Caenorhabditis elegans: one gene and its partners. The protein of the gene in region 1 interacts with the protein of each later gene in a pairwise test. Each region holds a gene or a part of one and is shown in the gene's direction. Other genes may lie near its edges.

What was found.
Region 2: the proteins of unc-37 (region 1) and nhr-67 interact in binary tests that used the Caenorhabditis elegans proteins (3 or more experiments, as listed by UniProt).
Region 3: the proteins of unc-37 (region 1) and sptf-2 interact in binary tests that used the Caenorhabditis elegans proteins (3 or more experiments, as listed by UniProt).
Region 4: the proteins of unc-37 (region 1) and lsy-22 interact in a two-hybrid assay, tested with the Caenorhabditis elegans proteins (3 studies listed by BioGRID).

What each region holds. Positions count from the first base shown.
Region 1 is NC_003279.8:6,741,766-6,747,024, reverse strand, and holds unc-37 (Transcription factor unc-37), read left to right. Parts: upstream 1-1,695; 5' UTR 1,696-1,700; coding exon 1,701-1,781; intron 1,782-1,833; coding exon 1,834-1,977; intron 1,978-2,229; coding exon 2,230-2,740; intron 2,741-2,827; coding exon 2,828-3,023; intron 3,024-3,076; coding exon 3,077-3,824; intron 3,825-4,342; coding exon 4,343-4,501; 3' UTR 4,502-4,718; downstream 4,719-5,259. Other genes in the region: fnci-1 (FANCI helical domain-containing protein), read left to right, coding at 631-693; W02D3.12 (Succinate dehydrogenase assembly factor 4, mitochondrial), read right to left, coding at 4,719-4,957, 5,006-5,036. UniProt on the Caenorhabditis elegans protein: Transcriptional corepressor that functions with the neural specificity gene unc-4 to govern motor neuron identity. In concert with unc-4, represses the expression of VB-specific genes such as ceh-12, thereby preventing the adoption of VB motor neuron fate.
Region 2 is NC_003282.8:11,168,006-11,175,311, forward strand, and holds nhr-67 (Nuclear hormone receptor family member nhr-67), read left to right. Parts: upstream 1-1,742; 5' UTR 1,743-1,828; coding exon 1,829-1,865; intron 1,866-3,155; coding exon 3,156-3,256; intron 3,257-3,871; coding exon 3,872-3,969; intron 3,970-4,066; coding exon 4,067-4,196; intron 4,197-4,404; exon of another isoform or gene 4,405-4,534; intron 4,535-5,143; coding exon 5,144-5,413; intron 5,414-5,463; coding exon 5,464-5,633; intron 5,634-6,044; coding exon 6,045-6,320; intron 6,321-6,368; coding exon 6,369-6,537; 3' UTR 6,538-6,786; downstream 6,787-7,306. UniProt on the Caenorhabditis elegans protein: Orphan nuclear receptor that binds DNA containing an extended core motif half-site sequence 5'-AAGTCA-3'.
Region 3 is NC_003280.10:8,623,556-8,628,127, forward strand, and holds sptf-2 (Specificity protein transcription factor 2), read left to right. Parts: upstream 1-1,903; 5' UTR 1,904-2,172; coding exon 2,173-2,369; intron 2,370-3,338; coding exon 3,339-3,437; intron 3,438-3,521; coding exon 3,522-3,632; intron 3,633-3,843; coding exon 3,844-3,937; 3' UTR 3,938-4,067; downstream 4,068-4,572. Other genes in the region: T22C8.6 (Ntox44 domain-containing protein), read right to left, coding at 4,308-4,572. UniProt on the Caenorhabditis elegans protein: Transcription factor. Probably acts downstream of the Wnt signaling pathway.
Region 4 is NC_003279.8:7,704,038-7,708,976, reverse strand, and holds lsy-22 (STI1 domain-containing protein), read left to right. Parts: upstream 1-1,927; 5' UTR 1,928-1,952; coding exon of another isoform or gene 1,953-2,015; 5' UTR 2,016-2,129; intron 2,130-2,355; 5' UTR 2,356-2,383; coding exon 2,384-3,010; intron 3,011-3,510; coding exon 3,511-3,765; 3' UTR 3,766-4,411; downstream 4,412-4,939. Other genes in the region: F27D4.12 (Photosystem II protein I), read left to right, coding at 1,953-2,015; etfa-1 (putative electron transfer flavoprotein subunit alpha, mitochondrial), read right to left, coding at 4,523-4,591, 4,638-4,748, 4,798-4,939.

The sequences.
Region 1 (5,259 bases):
ATTTTTCAATATAAATTGTGGATATTCGGTGCGAAACTGTTTCAATGCGCTGATTAATAGGACCACATTTGTGTCAAATGTTCATTTCAATTTGTGAAATGATCTAAAACAGCGGCATCCCAGACATAAAATGTATGTAGTTCCAAATGCCTCGACCACATACATTTTATTATTCTCATTCACCCATTAAACATCCCTTTTCCATCAACCGACATCAATTTGACCCAAGGTGACCCTTATATGGGAATTTTCTATTTCTGGAACATAAATCTGACTTTCATTGTATTCGTTGTCATAATGATGACATAAAGTGCAAACAAATGTGTACACCATCGTCTCACCACCATCTGTTACACACATCCAACCAATTATCGCCTTCTCGAATCTTTGAATGTTTATAACCACCCATCACATCCCTCCTTTTTCGATAAAATCTAACATTGTGGGAAATGAATGTGTCAATTACTGAAATGAAATGATTGATCAAAGGGCATAACCTTGTTAGTTGTTGATAGCTTCATTTACCTTAATCCTTATATAAATTTACGCTGCCCTTAAATCAAGTGTCGTGTTCAAGAATATATTTTTCACGAGACGACTTGCACTCTTAATCTAAAAATGTATTTTTAGGTGAAGCAGGAGGTTGATGACGAAGAAGAAAGTGTCTCCAGAGGCACGAGTCCAGTCTTCTGATCAGTTAGCAATGAAACGACAATTATATTTGATTTCCTAATGAGTTTAAACTCTCGAGTTTTTATATGTGTAATATATTCTTCAACACTCCGGAATGCTTCTAATTAGTTACAAATGACAAAATGGAGCTTCATTCATGTTTTGGTTTTTTTTTAAATTTTCATGACTGCTACAGTATACCGTCTTGTTGTTTAATCTAATAGAATCATTCAAGAGTTTTTATTCTTTCCATTTGAATCTCAATTTTCACTATTATCATTTGATTCTCATCTCATTTTCTTACCGATTTTCAATCTCAAATTATTTAAGAACATACCATGTCAATAAACTTATTATTTGTTAAACATGATTTTTTAAAAATATTTTCTTCAAGACAGGTTTATGTCTCTTTATTCAATATTTCAACCTTTTCCGTTTTTTTAGATAATTTTGTGAGTTTTTTATACTGGAATTGTGATTATGTACATGTAAAATATTTATAAATGCTTCTCTCTATAGTAAGTTGCAGCTTCATCGTGTTTGATTCGAAATATTAGTTAGAAATCCTCGGATCCTCGTGTTACTTGAATATCAAACTTATTGGATACATTCATCTTCTACACTCGGGCTCAAAAGAGCTCAAAACAAATGTGCTCTATCGACAACTCCTCCCCCCATTCGGTCACCCATTCAGCGTCGCATTCATCGCCGCGCGTTCGTCCTCCTCGACACCAATACCTCCTTCATTCTTCAACGTTAGTGGGGCTATATGACCAGTCGTTTTGCAATTAATGTATGATTCTCTCCGTCTACACCACTGGAAACCCATGTCCTCTTTCTTTGTTTCTTCGTCTCGTTGTCAACGTCTATTCAAACCACGTGCTATTTCTTGAGTTTTGTTGTCTTCTCCCAATCCATCACTAGTCTGTTCTTCCTTGCATTTTTTTGATCGAATTTTTAAAACTCCTCTCATAATTTTTATGTTAATAATTCACTATCCACTTGATTGTATTTAATTTTCAGTAAAAATGAAGGCATCGTATCTGGAAACCCTCGATCGAATCAAAGACGAGCATGCGGAAATGTCGAAGCATGTCAACCAGCAACGAGTAAGCTTAATTTTGTAAGAGAAATTTTAGTATATTGAAAACAATTTTGCAGTCGGATATCGAAAAGGTTGCGTTAGAGAAAGAAAATATGAATAGATCGTATATGACGTACGCTGAAGTATCAAATACTCTTCGTAGCGATCTTCGAAAAGCAGAAGAAATCAACAAACGCCTTCAGGAATTCATCATGCAATCGGTAAATTAACTCGTCAATAATGTTATTAAAAAATCGAACAAAAATATAGAAAAAGCTATTACAATTTTTTTGTTGAAATATTTGAACTAAATATTATGGAAACGTTATAATATCTATTGGATTGTACCTTGTTCAACTCAAACATGCTCCTCTTTCCATATATTCATTTATAAATAGAAGAAAAATTATTATGTAATATTTTTAATTCATAATAATCAATTTTAGGTAATATTATAAATGTATATTTTTCAGTTGGCTCCTCAACTATCTCAAGATAATCAAGCAAACTGCCTCGCCGCACTGGAAGCTTTCAAAACCGCATCACCACGTGAAAATGGAAATGGAGCACCAGCACTTCCACCAGGTTTTCCTCCCGGTGCAGCTGGAATGCTTGGAATGATGCCAAATATGCCATTCGGAATGAGCCCTGCAATGAGTCAACTATTCAATCAATTCGCATCACCACATGTCAACGGTGGAGATGGAGCCGGTGGAAGTTCTGGAGGTGCAAGTGAAGCGAAAAAGGCCAAGCTGGAAGATCCAGATGATGGAGAACTTGAGATTGATGTCACAAATGATGATCATCCAAGTACTGCATCAAATGGAGGCGCAGCTAATAAAAATGGAAGAGATAGCACAAATAGTGTTGCCTCATCGGGAGCATCTACACCGAGCATCGCATCAAATTCTAGAGCAAGACAACAACAGCAGCCACTCGCTGGGCTTCAAGGATTGGAGCAAATGAACTTTTTAGCTGGATTCAGTACGTGTTTACAATCTTTTGAAGTGTGCTAAGTGGAGGGAGCAAATACCAAAACTTCAGGCAATGCCAAAATATTTCAATTTTCAGATCCAAATCTTCTCCGACAAGCTAGTGCTGCTGGAGGATTCAACTTTTTGAATGATCCCCATGCACAGGCCCGTCTTGCAGCTGCCATCGGGCAAATCGGTAGCAGACCGGCCTATTCATTCAAAATTGTGGACGGTGGAGTTCCAACACCTACATCCTTCCCTCCAGATGCACAGAAAGGTCCCGGAATTCCGACGTAAGAAAATATAATAATTGGCTTTGATTCAAATTTGAAAAAAAAAATTGCAGAGGTCTCAAGAAGAAAATGGAATTAAATCACGGAGAAGTAGTTTGTGCGGCCACAATTTCCCGTGATAACAGTCGTGTTTATACTGGTGGAAAAGGATGTGTTAAGATCTGGGATGTCAAAGAATCAGATATTTCTGGCGCAACGGTTGTGAATCGGCCTCCAATTGCATCCTTGGATTGTCTCAAAGAGAACTATATTAGATCTTGTAAACTCTTTGAAGATGGAAATACACTTCTGATTGGAGGAGAAGCCAGTACTGTTGCTCTTTGGGATCTTACAACTGAAACAAAAACTTTGGACTTGGAAACTGATTCACAAGCATGCTACGCGTTGGCGATGTCACCAGATGAGAAATTATTGTTCGCATGTCTTGCTGATGGAAATATCCTCATTTATGATATCCATAATAAGGTGAAAGTTGGAACCCTACCTGGACATCAAGATGGAGCATCATGTCTCGATCTCTCAAAAGATGGTACAAAGCTCTGGTCAGGTGGTCTTGACAATTCTGTTAGATGCTGGGATCTTGCACAACGAAAGGAAGTTGCGAAGCATGATTTTGCGAGCCAAGTTTTCTCTCTTGGATGTTGTCCAAATGATGAATGGGTGGCTGTTGGTATGGAGAATAATTATGTCGAGGTTCTGTCAACAACTGGAAAAGAAAAGTATCAATTGACACAACACGAATCATGCGTCCTTTCGCTCAAATTTGCGCATTCCGGAAAGTTCTTCATTTCAACTGGAAAGGTATGTTTTGATTATACTTTGTCATTTACCGTATTTCTTCTATTAGTATGGCCTCCCTATTAGACTTGCACTCCCTATTAGTATTGCCCCTCGGAGACCTTCCAAAAATTAGTATGGCACTCCCTATTGCACTCTCTAATAGTCTTGCGTTTACTTTTTTTTTATTGCAAACCCATCTCGCTAATTTCAGGATTTCAACAATATTTTTTGCCTATTGTGCAACAATTTTTCACAAAATTTATACGAAATTGAAGTTTTTGAACTTATAGGTTACAATTAAAATCAAAATTTTTTGTATTTTTACATAAGATTCGAGCTTTTTCAGAAAAAAACTAGTAAGCTCAAAGTCAGAAAAATATTCTGAAAATTAGTATTGCACTCCCTAATATTCTTGCACTCCCTATTAGTCTTGCAAGCGGGAAGACCATCGAAAAATAGTATTGCAGCCATATTAATAGAAGAAATACGGTAATTGGCTCAATTTTTCTAATTGAAACCTCATAATCTCAATTTTTCAGGACAATGCTCTCAACGCCTGGCGTACTCCATACGGAGCATCACTCTTTCAACTAAAAGAGAACAGCTCCGTTCTCTCATGTGACATCTCATTCGACGACTCACTCATTGTCACTGGATCAGGGGAGAAGAAGGCAACTCTCTATGCAGTTGAATATTAATTTTTTTCCGCAGTGAATTTATGATCATGATACTCAAAACCCCTATTCTGTACGATAATCGTTTCATCTCTCTCATCTCTTCTAATTTCGTTTGTCAAATTTTCGTATTTGTGTACCCTATTACGATTAATGTCACTCTATGTTTAAAACATTTATTTATTTGCACTACAAAACAATGATGATCTGACTTGACTTTAACAGCAATTAATAAAACATTTCAAAAATCTGAAACTCTTCCCTTCCTCTCCCAATCACCATATCGAGTTGGCTCTGGTCCAGCTGGTCCACCAACTTCTCCAGTTGACTTATTCACACCTCCCGGATGTTTCTTGAGGTGAGGATCTTCATATTGTTGTTCGTCTGCTTTATCAAGTGCTCCTTTCGGTGTCTTCTCAGCCATCACCTTCTCCTTCGCACTTTGTTTTGGTTTTATATCTGCGAATCGGCGGGAAGAATCTGAATCGTCAAGAAATTAGAAAATTGTTTTTTGTGTAAAATCCATACTCAAAATTGGACGAAGAATCTGACGAAGCATTTGATCTGAATATTTTTTTTAATTGTTTCAATAGGACTAATCTTGCGACTAAAGTTACATCGATATCTCCAAGGCTCCACCCATTTTTCCTTCAGTAACATATGAAAATATTGACAACAAATCTTTATCACATATATAAAAGTCCATAGAAACAAATGTTCTTTGATGCATTTCAAGAAAGTGGGCGCATAAGATCAAAAGAATAGGATAAGAGCTAAGGTAA
Region 2 (7,306 bases), on another chromosome or scaffold:
ATTCATTTTACTTCCCCCCCCCCCCCCCCCCACCATTTCGCTAAGTTTTCCAAAAGTTCACACCTGTATGACCCTCGTCTGTCTATCTCTCTTCAACGACCTTTTCCTGCATCGTTCTCGATATTGCGTAAAATCCCAACACATTGTCTTACTCTTGGGTAAAATCGAGAAAAAAAAGTATTTTTGATTGCGTAAGCATCAAAATGAAATGCAGGTGTTCACCACTAAAATGAAATGGAGGTCATGTTCGTACCCTGTGGTACAAGCCACAGAGAGTTCAATTTATATGATGAGCATTTGAAGAATTTTATTAGGTTCTAAAATACCATGAGCCTGGCAGCTGGAAAAATATTTTACTGTTTTTTTTTTTGCTTAGAAACCTAATACTATAGACTACACTGAATTGGTTGTGACAACCTACTGAAGAACAAGAGGGGTAGAACATTAAATAACGAATCTAAGAATTTACAATCGGTGTTACAATGTTAAAGTTTTCAGCAACTAACTTCAAAGAAAATTAAAATTTTAATGAATCAAGGGATATTGGTTTTTTGGTTCGATTTTGTTCTGGCTCTCCGAGAGAGAACTATATGCCTGATACTGATATATAAAAAATAAAGTTGAAAATGAAGTTTGTAAAAAATACAGCTTGAAATTCGTCAGTTTTACGTTTGTGGTTCAAGCAAGTCTGGAACCTAGAGTTTCCCTAAAATAATATTTATATTTAATTTTTCACACGACCTGAAGTTTTCTCTCAAAACAGTCTACTACATATTTCACATAGAACCCCAGACTCCATCTAACTTTTTGCGGCAAAACTACCATTCCTCTGCTCAAAACTTTTGCTCCAATTCTTTTCATCATAAAGTCTTTACTGATGACAATGAATGGTCAAGTATTCTCAGGGATGTCGTCGGGTCTTTTGAGCTCTTTTGAGTCTTCCAAAACTCCTTCAACTTGTGCCTCCAAAAAGATTTGAGGAGGCATTCTGAAGAATGGGAGCAACAACGGCAAGAAGTGTGTGGTGATTGTGCGCGGGATGAAAAGAGAACAAAGTTTTTGGGATGAGGTGGATGCTCCGTGAGCAATAAAAGGATCCGACAGGAAGGGAGTTTTCAAGAGTAATATTGACTATATAGGGCAAATATAATAACATGACCAAGGATACAGAACTGTTTTCCGAAAAAACCAGAATCCCAGAAAAGAACCACTTCTTAATTGAGAAAGTTTCAAAATTTGTTCAAGTCAAACTGCAGATAAAATGTATTGAAATTAAATAAAAATTGAAAACTCCGAGTTAAAGTTAAATTAAAAGATGAGTAGAGTGTGGTCAATCATAGTGGTTGCTTGAAAACTTCACACACTAGTAAAGTTTACAGTGGTCTAGGTTTTCAGATTTATAGTTTTCCAAAATAAGTTAAACATTTCAACTACAAGAGCACCTCAGTTAGATTTTCTGTACTCTGAACAATGTTACTTGAGCTATTAACATAAAACTACCACTCAATTGAATAATTTGGCATTCACCTGGATACTATGAAAACAAAAAATTGAATATTTGAAAAACAGTACACTAGAAAAACTCTCAAAATCAATCAGGGCGTGGCTTATTGCATCGTCTACAGTATCCCTCAGAGTCGTTTCTCTTCGCTTTCTCTCCGTCGGCTGTCAGTGGTGGTCGCTAGCTCCGCCCATGATTTGACGACGTGACTCGCCTTCGCCTTTCCGACTGCCTCTCACTCTCGCCTTAAGAAGAGAGAATTTGTCTTTTGGGAATCTGTGTGCTCAATATTCCGGAATTCTTGAATTAATGAATCTGGCGCCAAGAATGATGACTGCGGTTTCACAGATGTCGGTTCCAAGCAGTAAGTCAATTTTAAAAAGTTAATCGTCAACATCTAGAATCAGAAGATGAAAACTTCTACTTCGAACTTTCTTGGAAAAATGAGCTTTCTTAAACTTCCAGGCTTTAGCTGTAGAAAGCTTTTTTCCAATTCCCAACTTCAAAAGAAACTCAGATTTTAAAATTGGGATCTTGAGCAATTAATAAACGTAGGATGAGTTGCCCGGTGGGCATACTTCACATTCTTAGCCACATAAAATTGTTATTTTCTCATTTTAATTTCAATTTCAGAGTAGATTATTATTAATTTGAAATATTTAGGGAAGAATTTCCTAAAAATGGGTTTGGAAGTGCATAATATCGAAAAAAAAAGTGGGAGCTTTTTTGGCAAGATACATACGTATAGGATTTTGATACCTTCACAAAATTTTGAAAACCCTATGAAATACTCCTGTTTTTTTTTAAATATTTTTTTACTACCCATTGTCTTCAAATTTAACAAAATCTGAACCTTGACTTCTTCCATGGGATAAATCCATTAATATACAAACTACAGTAAATCCATGTATCTTTATATATGAGTTCTAGAAGCCTTAGTGCAGATGGGTTACTGTAGTTGTACCTAAACTAGTTTGTGTGAATGAAGAAAGAAAATGAAGAAATGTCTAATGTGAATATCATAATTTGAATGCATATCAATTTCAGTGTGAGAAAAAATTTCTAACTGAAAAATTAAGACATTATTTCAGAACCCTGATTTCAGAACTAAAAAGTCACATAAAACTTTCATAAAAATTCCTTTTTTTTTCCTAATCTCCCCGGCACGAGAACTCCAATAAGTAAAATAGGAAGTCATTAAACATAGTGACTCAATATTATGGTAGAAATGATTAGGTGTGAATTATGAGTTAGGTGATGGAATTAGTACAAGAATGGAAGAGTTTCTGTGGGAGATGCAGGTGTTTCGGGTCAATTGTGACACGTGGCACCTGTGGATTTAGCACCATTTAGCTAGAACTAGAATTGATTTGAAAGGTCATGATGTTAAATAAAATTAATTTTTTAAAGTCATACGAACAACATCAAAACTAATACTCAATATCCAAGAAGTAGAAACTCAATTTGAAATATTGTTCACTTCTTGCCTTTTTCTTTCAACAAATCCATTTCCATTCTGCCTTCATTCTCTTTTCATATTCTATTAATTAGGCAGGCAAGAGACACAGGAAGTGCTGAATAATTGGAGTCTCTCCTTCTTGGCTTTCTTGATTTCCTCATTCTATTTCACACCTAAAAATGATTATTTCTTCAGGTCGAATTCTATTGGATGTTGATTGTAGAGTCTGTGAAGATCATTCGTCGGGGAAGCATTACAGTATTTTTTCCTGCGACGGGTGTGCTGGATTCTTTAAAGTAAGTTTTAATGTTTATTGAGCTCTCATTTTTTAGATAGCTTAAAATATTCGAATTTGAGAGTAAATTTTAGTGGAAAATTTTTAAAAAAGTATTATCTAGACGCGAAAGTTTCCCATTTTTGCTCTAAAAATACGGTAACCGGTCTCGATGTGAATTTTTTTTATTAAACGGGAAAAGGTATGTGCCTTTAAACTGTACTGTAATTATGTACTCTCGTTTCTGCCGAATTTTTCTCCTGATTTATTAAAAATGTATGTGTTACATCTGAATTTTATTAAAAAACATATATTTTTATCGAAAAACCATCCAAAATTCGACAGAAACAAATTTATTGAACTACAGTACGTTTTAAAAGCGCACACCTTGGTTAGACAAGGTACTAATTTTTGCTGAAACTAATTGTTATATTATTGAATTTCCGGATAGATAAAAATGTGTTAATCTTCAACAAAAAATGTCTACAATCATTTTGCAACATTAACTTTGTTCTGCTCCGATTATAATGTATGTCTAGGATTTGAGACCTCATGAAATATTTTTTCAATGTGAATTGACTTTCAAATTTCCTTAGCATAATTATCATTGAAATTGAACAACAATTCCAAATTTCAGCGTTCAATCCGTCGTCATCGTCAATACGTGTGCAAAAACAAAGGCAGTCCATCCGAAGGACAATGCAAAGTGGACAAAACACACCGCAACCAGTGCAGGTGAGTTCTTAACGGTCACAGATTAGTGTTACGATCCCCTTTTATGCTCTTTACGTTCGAGTCCATACATTGATTGATGACACTTGGAGAATTTCAGAGCTTGCCGACTAAGAAAGTGTCTGGAAATTGGGATGAACAAAGATGCTGTCCAACATGAGAGAGGGCCTCGTAACTCAAGTTTAAGACGACAACAGATGATGTTCGATCATGGATCCTCTCCTAATTCGGTATGTGTTTGTGGGAATCTTAAATTCGGATATGTTACAAGGACAAAATATTTAATAATTTTAATTAAATTTATCGATTCTAATTTAGTTTTGAATTCATAATGACTTTCAAAATAGTTCCATTTAAATCTCATGATTACCGATCTTTCTCTTTCTCACTCACAAAAATCAGTGACTAAAGTGAAGTGAAAAAAGGATTTTGAGTAGAATTAGTACAGTAATCCGCAGGTGGATTTTGGTCGAGTTGACACCGACGCGGCGGCGACGAAAAGTAAAAAAGGTGAAAAGTTGTCGGTTGCTGTACAAATCTACAGTACCACCTGACAGGTGATTTGTCACTCTTGAACATAGTCAAACATTTTACTGGCGAAGGGAACACCTAGGATATAGAGCATGGTCAGAAATATGATTGCAATGAATTGCAATTTTCTACAACACGGTAACTTGGTTGTTGCCGGAAGTGCTGAGTATTCGTTAAGTTGGCAATTTTTTGAATTGGCAATTATCGAAGAATTAAACAAAACATTTTAATTTTTTTGTGGTACGTTTTTCTCAAAACGTCAAATTTCAAAAAAATATCCTCTAATTATCAGTTAAACACCAAATACGTGCCAAAACCGTGACAGATTCTTTAAAAAAGAGCACCTTGAAAAATCAGCCAGTTTCAAAAACTTGTGAATATATGTGTATTCTGGGGCAGATGTTTTAATGTTTCTATTTGTATTCGGATACAAATTACTCAATAATATTGTGCTCTTATGGATCTTAAGTGGGGACAACATAGTGTCAAATGATTATGTTGCATAAGTACTTGTTAGGGACAGCTGATTGGAAGAATTAGCAAATATCGTATACAAGAGGAAATTATGTCTAAAATTTCTATAATTAACTTTCAGTGAAAAAGTTAATATTATTAAGTAGATGATTTTAATTTTCCTTCATTTCAGCCGGAAATGGGATCAGAAAGTGATGCAATAATTCTTCCGACATCATCAATGAATCGTGACACAGTGGCCGGTACTGCTGCTCGAATCTTTTTTGCACTTGTTGGATTTTGTCAGAATCCTTTGAATGGAGTACCTAAAGAACGGCAAATGACAATGTTTCAACAAAATTGGGCAGCACTTCTTGTTCTCCATGCAACTGAAACACGTGCCATAACTTCTAAGCAAATAAGGACTGAGACGATATCCGGTAGCTCAGAGCAAAGAAATGCGGTATGCAGTAATATGAATCTGAATATTTTGAAAAATTAATGAATGTTCAGGTTGCTAACGCGTTTGAAATAATTGAACGTTTACAATTGGATAATAGAGAATACATGATGTTGAAACATTTCACAATGTGGAGAGATACACCAAGTGCAATTCAAATTGTCTTTCAGTTAGCATCTATTCAGAATTTCACACATAGAACCGAACCGACGAGATATATCCAGTAAGTTCCTTTTTTTATTTTTTTTTTCAATTTTCTTATTTTTGGAATAATGTGAGACTTCACTATAAAGGTAAACGCTGTTTTTCTGAGTGGGTTGCAACGATCAAAGTTAATTAAATATTGTATTTGCTAGTTTGAAGGTTGCTAATTCTTTTTTAAAATTAATTAATTAACCAATTGAAAAAGTTCATTTATAGTTTTTGTACGATTATCCTATTCAAAAGTTCATTTTTCGGCTCAAAATATAAAAAATTCCACAATTAAAAAAGCAGTGTTTTTTGTTCTCACAAAAAATGCAAATTATTTCCTATTTGCTTAAAAAGCGAAATTGATTATTGAAAACTAATGAAAACTAAACGCTCTAGTACCATCTTTCCTTCTGAAAACTTCACAGTCTGAAACCTATTTCAGATGTATAAATGCAATTGCCGCTATTCCAACAACTTCAATAATTGATGTTCTATTCCGCCCTTCAATTGGATCAGCTTCAATGCCAAGACTTATTCAAGACATGTTCAAGCCACCACAACAACCCACTCCTACGTCACTGTTTCCAATGGCAAACTTCAATTTGAACTTTCTATTAAAACAAGAAAAAACCGAAACTGAAGAGGGTGAAGATATTGAAGAAGAGGATGATGCGACGAGTAGCAATCAATTTGATGAAAATTCTTCTACTGATGATAGGTATGATGAGCATTTATTAGTACAGTGGATTAACTGAGTCTGTTGCAGATCTGTCGGAGAACTGGATCCCGTTCAACTTTTCTTGGCTCTTAATTCCTCAACTCAGCCTTCATCGGCATCATCCCCTTCCTCTTCAAGACCACGTCATTCGATTCGATCAATAACTGAATTATTATCAATTCAAGAAGAAGAGAGTGTTAATGTTGAAGAGGTTTAGATAGTAAATTCATGTTTCATATACAGTAACTCAATTATTCTAAGTATCTCTTTTCATTGTCTTTTTCACTCCGTTTCTTGCCTCGCCCGGATTTTCATTGGATTTTGATTTATACTTTCAAAATTTCATTTTTCAATTGTAAATTTTTAATTTAAATTTAGAGAAAAAAAATGGTAAGCTTTAAAACTAATTTATTATTTTCTGATTTATATTGTGAACAGATGAATAAAACGTTTACAACAATGGCAATTGGCATACAAACATCATTAAAAAAAGGTGAATCATACAGTTTTGAGAAGACTACATATGATTCGAAACATAAAAAACAATAGAAATCAATAAATGATGGGAGAGAAACCGAGAGATTTATTGGAAAATGGAACGGTTGAATGTCATATTGTGTCATCGTCGTTTTCCTTGTTAATGGCCTCGTTTCTTATCATATCCATATCATTCTGATATTCCCATTCAACTAGATGACCAAATCATTAGCTGACTGATTTCCCCCTTTTTAATGATTTGTTTATGGTTTTGTCAATAGTTTGAACGCGTTACGTTTTTGTAGATAAACCTGATTATGCTAGAATATTTTTTATTGAGATTTATTGACTAATTTAAAGTTTTAAACTAACAGAACAACAACCAATATTATAAAGAAAATGCTTTAAACTCATTTTTGAACATCCAGAACATCCGAAAAATAACCAACATGGTTAAGATTTTTCAAAGTTTTTAGTCAAAGTTTCGGTATCTATTTGCAATTTTCAAA
Region 3 (4,572 bases), on another chromosome or scaffold:
TTTAAAAAAAGCTGTTGTGCAATGTGTTAAGAGTGATGTTGAGCAGATGACTATGACCACAACAAGTGAGCAAAAAGTAGAGGGAAACAAGAAAGAGAAGACTGTCATCTTTCCTTTCTTCTGGATATATGTTTATTGCGGTGCGATACTCTGCACGGTGCGAACAGATTGAGGAAATGACCTGACCTTTTTAACTAACAAAACACTTGCAACGACAGTGAAATAGTATTGGCAGACGGGAGAGAAATAGAGACAACAATAGAAATGGAACTGTTTTGAACAATTTGTAAAAATGATAGATTTGATAATTATAAACGATAATTATATAAATTGCAAGTTGCCTGTCTATGACAACATTATGACAAGCTAATAAGTTTAAAGAACAGATGAAGCAGTGCAATACTGAAAGGTACGCAACTGTCATAGAGGAAGCAAAATATGTACAGTAATTTTATGTTAAAATAAAATATTACAGCTTACAAAGTATAATACGATGTGCATAAAATCTTACGCCTGTCCGTGGCTGTTTACCGATTCTGTAAGTGACCATGAAGGATAGTTATACTGCACGACGGAAACTTCTCGGTTTTCTTGGTAGTACGGTAACGGATTAGCAACATCTGTTTCACTTTTCACCGTTGGAAGGATTTTCAGAGATTTGATGCAATTATTTTTAAATTCCGAGGAGTGCCCCAACATCGCTAGTGCAGAACATTTGCTAGCACCCACAGTTTAATAGTCATTCATTTAATAATCTTAAATACCGTCTGGCATGATAATCAATGCAAAGTATCAGTTTTTAGTTTGCTTTGAAAAAACCGTTCGTTGGCGAGATTTAGCGAGAAACGCTACTTTCACAAGATCCCCGCATCTAAGTCTGAAATTTGCCTGTCATTTCAGGTGCCATTCTCATTTTTTTCCCTCAAGACCTCCGCGATTCTAAAACTCTAAAAGTGCATCTTTTCATCTATCTCTCTTACTTTTTGCTGCCGAACGAAACAAAAAACGAGCATTTGTCACTTGGTTCTCGGGGTCGTCGTGTGCACGTCGTTAATCGTCCAGGTTCATTGGTTTTGAGGAGGTCGAATTGTCTTGAATGCATCAATATTCAATTTCACAAAGCAGAAATCTTCTTTGCTTTAGCAAAGAGTTACGAGATATTTGGGGCTCAAAAAAAGTATACCGTAACATTAAGATTTCTAAAAAAAATGGACGGTGGTTACTGTCGAATTTGCATCCACTGTAGATGAAAATTCCGCACTTCTTCTTGAACTGGATATTTTTTATGAGAAAACCTGATTCAATGCAAAATTGAGTTAGTTTCAATAATATAATTTTCTAAATGAAAAAAATTATTGTAGAAAAATGGATCAACTGGAAAAAACGGTATGCAATTCCCGTCCCCAGTTGCCACGAATCTCAGAGTAATTTATGCCCAACTGACAATTTACATTCAAGAAAATACAATTGCGAAGTGAAAAAATGTTTTTATTAACCATACAGTACCCCTTGAGAATTGACCCTTCAGAATTATCAACTTGTCACATCTATGCTCATAGTTTTTTTCTTTCTCAGAAGAACTCTTGAAATAATTTTCCAGAACTGTATCAATTTTCCTTGATTTTTCCTTCCTCTCATTTAACTGCTCCACCCTTTTTGTTCAGTTGTTCGATTCAAATCACACAACTCACCTCTTTTCAGGTTGCACAAGTACTCAATTGAGTGAGCTCTTATCAAAAAGGACACTGATTAATAACCCTAAAATGACGAGAGTCTGTGTGGACACTGCAGACGAAAAAGTGAAAAAGGTGATTACGGGGCACCGGTGCCTCTTTTATGATGCCGCCATCATTGGAGGAAGAGAGGAGGCTGATAACGCGGAGAGCCAAGAGACAGACAACATCAAAAGAAGCCGTCGCCTCTCCGCCGCCGGTCTATCAGAGCGGAGCGGAGCCCCCCAATGTTGTTCGTTTTTTTTTGTGAAAAGACAGAGGGGAATTGAGAGAGAAAAATCCCTGGCGCCCCACTACCGCTAATTCCCACCGTAACGAGTGTGTGGCAAGGGAGGGAGGGACTAAGAGCTCCGCCCACCACCAGTACCCTCACAGAGATTTTTTCATTCACGGAGACCTCCTGTCCTGGTTTATTTGGAACCACAGCAGAGGACAACTGATGGACGGAGCAGCAACAAAGTTCTTTCGTCCATGGGAGAGCCATGGGAGTTATCATCACTCGCTTCCCTCAATATCACCTCCTGACTCTCCGGCATCCACATCTGCAAGCTCATCTTCATCTAGCATTGGAGCCAATGAGTTGACCACCAAGAGAAGAAAATGCGAGAGATGCACATGCCCGAATTGCAAAGCCATGTGAGTTTTTATGGGTTTTAGAAGAAATGAGAAGCCGAAAGCAGAAGAGGGAGAAAGGATTTAGATGGAGGCGTCGGAATGAGTTCTTGAATCGCGACGGGCGGCCTAGTTGAATGAGGCTATTAGAATAGAGACGACTACGGTAAAGAAGCTCAACATAGTTGTATTATGTAGTGGAGCAAAGCTCAAAATAGATCTTCGATCTTTCTGGAAATGTGGGTGCCCTTGAAATTGTAGATTCAAAAGTTGAAACTGAGCCATGTACAAATATTATCATTGAAAATCAGTTCAACAATAATTTCGTTTCATTAAAAATTCTATGGAAACCCAAAAAATCTGATTTAAAACATTTTGAATTTTTGGTACGGTGCATGGTCATTTATTTAGAGCAAATTTTTCATGTTGAAATTCTATAGAATATTTTTGATCAGACCGTCCAACAGTAATAAGTGTGCATAACTGACCTTACTCATAGAAAGAACTACTGAAAAGTTAATTGCGTAATTTCACTTGAACAAGCGCATTTCGTTACATATCGTTTTACAAAGAAAAGTAATTTATTCTCTTATTTCTGTAGTTCTGGCAAGAGCTGAAGCGACAATGAACTAACAATAACTGGTCATATACTGAATATTTCAATTTATTTTATCCTTTTTGTCTCGTTCCTTTTTGCAAGGTTCAGATTTTTACGCGAACAACAGTTTTGAGATGATTCTACAACTTTAATAATTTTAGATAGAGATAAAAAAGTAAGAATTGTTAAAAATTATTTATAGCGGTCACCTCCTTAACTGCTATGACCTTGTTTATTGTTTCTGATAAGAATGACTCATTAGCTCCTTTCTATTTTCCCCGCTGTGCCCTTTCACCTTATTTGTGGTAACAAACCTTGTCGGTTGAGCACTGGTGTTCCTTTGACAAATTAGTATCAATATTTGTCCTCAAAACCAAATGTAACATGTTTTGCAGAAAGCATGGCGATCGAGGGTCTCAACACACTCACCTGTGCAGTGTCCCTGGTTGTGGAAAAACATATAAAAAGACAAGCCATTTAAGAGCACATTTAAGGTGAATTTCCTGGAATATTGGAGCAATAAGTGGTCACGATATAAATTTAGACTTGAAAAACAATGAGTTACTGTAATTTTGCAGGAAGCATACCGGAGACCGCCCATTCGTTTGCGATTGGTTTGATTGTGGAAAGAGATTTGACAGAAGTGATCAACTGATCAGGCATAAGAGGACGCATACAAAAGAATATAGGTTAGATTTTAATACAAATTCAAATTAGACATTAATTGAATATTGAGGTATCCGGTAATAAGGCGTTTTAAATTTCTGAACATGATTCTTGAAATTTTTTTTCCTAAAGCGTGTACCAGTTGAAGAATTCAATTTGTTATAGCCTTGAAACTTTCCAACAAAAAAATTCATTAACAGCTAAAATTTCAGCTAAATACAGCTAACATTTCAGATTTGCTTGCAAATTTTGCATTCGCCAATTTTCTCGTTCCGATCATCTTCAACAACACTTGACATCGGTGCATAATATAGTTGTCGTAGATTAGAGACAAATATTTTAATTTTTCTGTCATTACCTTGTGTATTTATGATTTGTGTATTGCCCTATTTTCCCAGAAAAGAATCGTTGATTGTTTCACTTTATTAATCGTAAATAAAATGTGTCGAAAATCAATATATACAAACAGAGATTTTATATTTTGAACTTTTTTTTTGAAAATTGGCAAAATCCTAGAAATGATCTAGATATTAGATTGAATTGATAAAAATATTCAAGAAAGCACAGTACATACTTTACGCGAAAGATGGAAGAAAAATGATTGTATAGCGTTTTCTAAAGACTTATTTCACAAATTAACAATTTTTGAGTTCATTGAACCTGTATCGACATTCAAACAACAAATAATACATTCTAGATTATCCAAGTGCCCGTTCCCAAACGTCTAAACCAGGAAATGCAACAGCCTGTCCAGTCTGGAAACCTGCTCCAACAAACGGAGAACTAACTCCGAATGTGTGTCGAACATCTCCTTCCTTGTAATTCACTCCAACATGATCATTTTGCTGATAGTAACCACCGACTCCGTATCCGTTGTCAACTTTCAAATTTCCAGCGTCTTTTCCGTGTAATGGGAATGACACCGTATTGTGCTGACCACCTTCAACTCCCAGAGATTGAACA
Region 4 (4,939 bases), 960 kb from region 1:
CCAATGTTTTTTGTCGTCGAAGTCGTTTCCAGGCCACTGGCTGCACTTTTTTCAAAATGATGGCTAACGACACCATTTGACAGTTGAAAAAATTAGACTTCAGAATAATTGTCATAATTAACAAATCCATGTTCTCAGTAATTAATTCTTCATATAAAAAATTATCTAGAAGTCGCAGTAATGCACTTTATAAGGACAACGACAACTCACTTCGGTTCTAGAAACTTCTTCATCAAAACCTATAATTATCATCGTGAGCTTGACCATAGGTAGAAATTATGTTGATAATAACTGATAATCACAAGACTCGATTACGTGATATTTCGCTCCTCCCTTTCCATCCATCACATATATCTTTTGAAGTCTCAGCTTCTTCTGAGCTCGAAGCTTCAAAGGCAATTAGCCGCACCTGTGGTGTCAAAATTGAAGAAACAACCAGGCATTCTCTAGGTCTAGAAGAATATAAATGTGATTGTAATCCATCTTTTCGTTCCTCTTTCTTCCTCTACTTCTCTCAATTCTTCTTCCCGCATTTTTTTGTGTGGAGGCCCCCGAGTCCTCCATCCATCAAAAGCTCACCAGTCATTTCGAGTCGAATAAAATGAGCATTTGGTGGTGGATGCAGAAGAGCCGTCTTCTTTCTCTCCTTGTGGTCGTGCGCACATAAGAAGACAAAAACCCATCGTTTTTAATCGAATACAAAAGACTCATTCTTGCACAACACTACACAAATTTATATTCATCTTCAGTATTAGAAAAGTCTTGTGGTATTGAATAAGCTCGACTTTCTGACTTTTCAATGTTTCCAAATACTTCAGCAAATTAATATCAACGAAATTTTCGCACGATTTGTAACCCCCTGGTTCAGGCGCTTTTAAATTTTTATTCATGTTCGGTATTAAACTTTGAGAGATTTGTGAGCCAGAGAGCCGCCTACCACCAATTTTTATGGCGTTTCTTTTTTCCGGGGTCTAGGCTCTGGGATCCATAACGTGCCAGAGTGCACTCTGTTTTTTAATCAGAAAATAAGTTCCGCCGTTTTCAAACGAATAAAAAAGTGAGAGGAAAAGTTTTGACACCCAATATGTTCTTCATTATCACTACTTATCAGTTGGCATTCTCTTTTACAACACTCCTCTGCGCCGATTAGACTGGCTTATTTATTACCCTTGGAAGATGGGGATGCACAATTTGCAACTTATAGATAGAAAGTTTTTGAATTTTTCACTTGGCTTTTAAAAATAAACAAGTTTGAGCTATTTTTTAATATTTGAAATTCGACTAGTTTTTCATTCAATTTCAATTTCAAAAATCATCACATCTGTATCACCCAGACGCGAAATTTTGAGATTTTTTAATCTAAAAAAACGGTTAACAGTCTCGACTTCAAACACTTTGCTGCGAAATTTTGATCGTAAAATTAAATGTAAAAAATCGATAAAATTCTGCAAAAACACACATTTGAAATTACAGTACTCATTAAAGGCACACACCTTTTCGCATATTACAATAAACTGTCGTGTCGAGACCAGGCAGCATATTTTTGTGCAAACTCCTTTGAAATTATTGTTATTACAGATTTTTTGAAATTAGTAATTTCGGAAGTCTCCAAATTCTTAAAATGTCCTTTCCTTCCTTCGTCTCCTTCTCACTTTCCCGGCGGTAATTGGTTTTGGCGTAGAACATGGCGCCGGCGCAAACACATTGACGCAAAAGTTCACAATTTAAAAGACCGTGTAAACAAGACCTCCTCCCCCTGTCCGCTCGTCTTCTCAAAGAACTTTTTTATCTTTTCCGTTGTTTTATCGCTTTTCTCATAATAAAAATAAAAATCGTCGTTGAAGAAATAAAATGGGCCCCGCCGTTGGTGTGTGTGTGCCATCACAACCATCAATTCAAACTTTGTTTTATTTCTACTTTTTTGCAGCTCATTGCTCCGTGACGGATTCAAATTGTTGTTTTTCTTCGCGACAAACAAGAAAGACTCTGGAATTGTATCGTTTTCGAATTTTTAAAATTTGGAATTTTTGATCGCCTGTCGATCAACCCCCGTCTACAATCACGTCGGACCAACGAAGATTCGCGAATCCGAACTTCTCGCATCCTAGCTCGAGTAGTTCAAGGGAAAAGTAGGTTTTTATTATATTTTAAAAGTAAAAGATTTGTTGACAAATAGTTGAAAATGGTATTCTAAAAGTTGAGAAAATTAAAAATATGAAAGGTTCACTAGAGGCATATTTTTCATTTTGAAAGTATCAAAATAAATTCAAAAACAGCGTTTAATTTCTTTTAGAAAACTAGAAATTCGAAAACTAGAAATTGGTGAATATGAACAGTATTTAATTTATATTTTAGTAGGAAACGAAGTGGATCAGCCAGCGGAATGTCACTAGCAGATCATATTGATGCAATCAAAAAAGAAATGACAAGTCTATCGAGCCAATTCAACTCGAATAAATCAGAACTTGAACGATCAAAACAGGATTTATCATCAATGCAACTACAAATGCAACAACAAATGAACGATTCAGTACAGCAGGACCTCCAGAAAGCTCATGATACATCGAAGAAATTAGATAATCTTGCAAGGACGTTTCTTGCATTAATTACTGATCCATCGCAACAATCACAATTATTAGCGGAATTTGAATCAATTTCCAAGAACGGAACACCTCAAATGCCAGTGATGACACCTCCAATGATGAATGCAGTTGCTGCAATGCAACCACATATGATGATGAGGAATCCAATGCTGAATGCAATGGGTGGAGCATCACCACGTGTTTCTGGAAAAGGTGGAGCTCCACAAAACGGTGGAATGAATGGGATGTCGATGATGCAGCACATGCAAATGCAAGCATTCCAGGCACAAATGATGCAAGCTCAAATGTTTCAGCAGATGCCGATGATGATGCCAGGGATGGTTCCTGGAATGCCACCGGGAATGGCTGGATTGCCTGGAATGATGCCACCGAATAATATGGCAGCTGCAATGCAACATTTTAATGCGGTAAGTGTTAACTATTATTCAAAATGTTGAGATTAAATTATGTTTATCGTAATTTTCTCTTAGGGGCACGGATTTATCCAGATGGGGTCGGCGGGGAAAAATCTATGATAGTTTTTTTTTTGAATTTTTACGGCATCTTCCTTGCCTTTTTAGCGAATTTTTCTGCTAAAAAACGTCTATGTTTGAAGTATAAATTTCAACAAAAAAAACTACCATAAACGTTTTGCGCACCGATCCCATCATAAAATATCCGTGAGCCTTTAATTTGAAATCTAGTGAAATTACGACAGTAAAAGTGAAATTCAAGAAAATTAATGTAGAAATACAAAGGATGTTTTAAATGTACTTTTTAGAGCAGTTTGATATTACTAGAAAACTTACTATTACTAGAAAAGATAGAAGAAATTAATATTTTTTAGCTCCTTCAGAAGATATTCCAAAAACCTCGATATCTCAATTTTCTATCCATTTCTGTACAACATATTTTCATAATCTTCCAGTTTCAGCAAATGGCCGCCGCTGCATCGGTAGCAGTTTCTACACCATCAAGGAATCCATCAACATCTGGAGCCGCTTCTCGAACACGAACTCCATTAACCACATCAGCCACGAATTCACCTCGACCCACCACAGAACCAACGATTAAAGAAGAAGAACCACAGACAATGGAACATGATGTAGCTGCTGCTGTGGCCGCAACTACTGCTACTGCAACAATCAAACAAGAAGAAAATTCGACAGTGGCGGTTGCTTGATCCTGTACCGACATATTTTAGTATTATCGATTGTGATATCTATCGATATATAGTGTAATCTCTCATCCTCTCAAAATCCTCCTTTTTCGGTGGCGGCTGACCTCTGGATCCATTTTTTCTTTTTTGAAAAATATTGTTTTTATGTTTGGCCTTTTCGCATTCTAATACAGGTCCAACTTTCCGTTTTAAATATTCGTTGTTTCTTTTTTTTTCAATCGCCGTCCATTTTAAAATGAAATTCTCATAATGTTCTCTGCTGCGTCGGACTTTTTTGTCGATCTCTTTGTTATTCCAGCCCATCAGTTTCATCATTTTTATTCTTCAAAAATTTGAGAAATCTTTCAGTTTCTTGTTCCCCCCAATCCTCCCCATTCGCTTTTTTTTGCATCCCGCAGCGGGTATCTCGTTTTGATTAATAGAAGAGTAATTTCCCAATCACAAAACCATCACCAGGAATGTTTCAAATTTTCCAGTATTTATCTATCAATTCGTCACCTCACTTGTCTCGCATTTTCTCGTTGTTTCCGTGCTTCTTGTGAATATGATATTTGATACAAAATTCTCATTTCGGTTTTCTCCAGTGTTGCTCTTCTCAATTGTTCTTTATGAATCGCGTGATAACGCTCATAAAACAGATTTGGCTGTTTATTCACATTGAAAGCATAAAAACGAAAATCACAATATCCCGATAAACCGAGTTACTAAATAGAATACAATAATTTAGAAGACACATCTACATTAGGCTATTTGAAGGTATTCATGGAAGAGCAGCAGTCAGTTCTGGGACGGCCTTGAACAAATCGGCTTTCAATCCAATATCAGCGACCTGAATTATTTAGAATTAACAATTTTGTGTTAAATTCAATTTTTACCTGGAAAATTGGTGCATCAGGATCCTTGTTGATGGCGACAATCACCTTTGAGTCCTTCATTCCAGCCAAATGTTGAATGGCTCCAGAAATTCCGATTGCAATGTAGAGTTCCTATAAATTAATTCATTTTTCTTTGCTTCTCACTTAATGGATTTCTTACCGGCGCTACAATCTTTCCAGTCTGACCGACTTGCATGTCATTTGGTACGTATCCAGCATCAACAGCGGCACGGGATGCTCCGACTCCGGCTCCGAGCTTATCAGCAAGATCATAGATGAGCTTGAAATTGTCTCCACTCTTC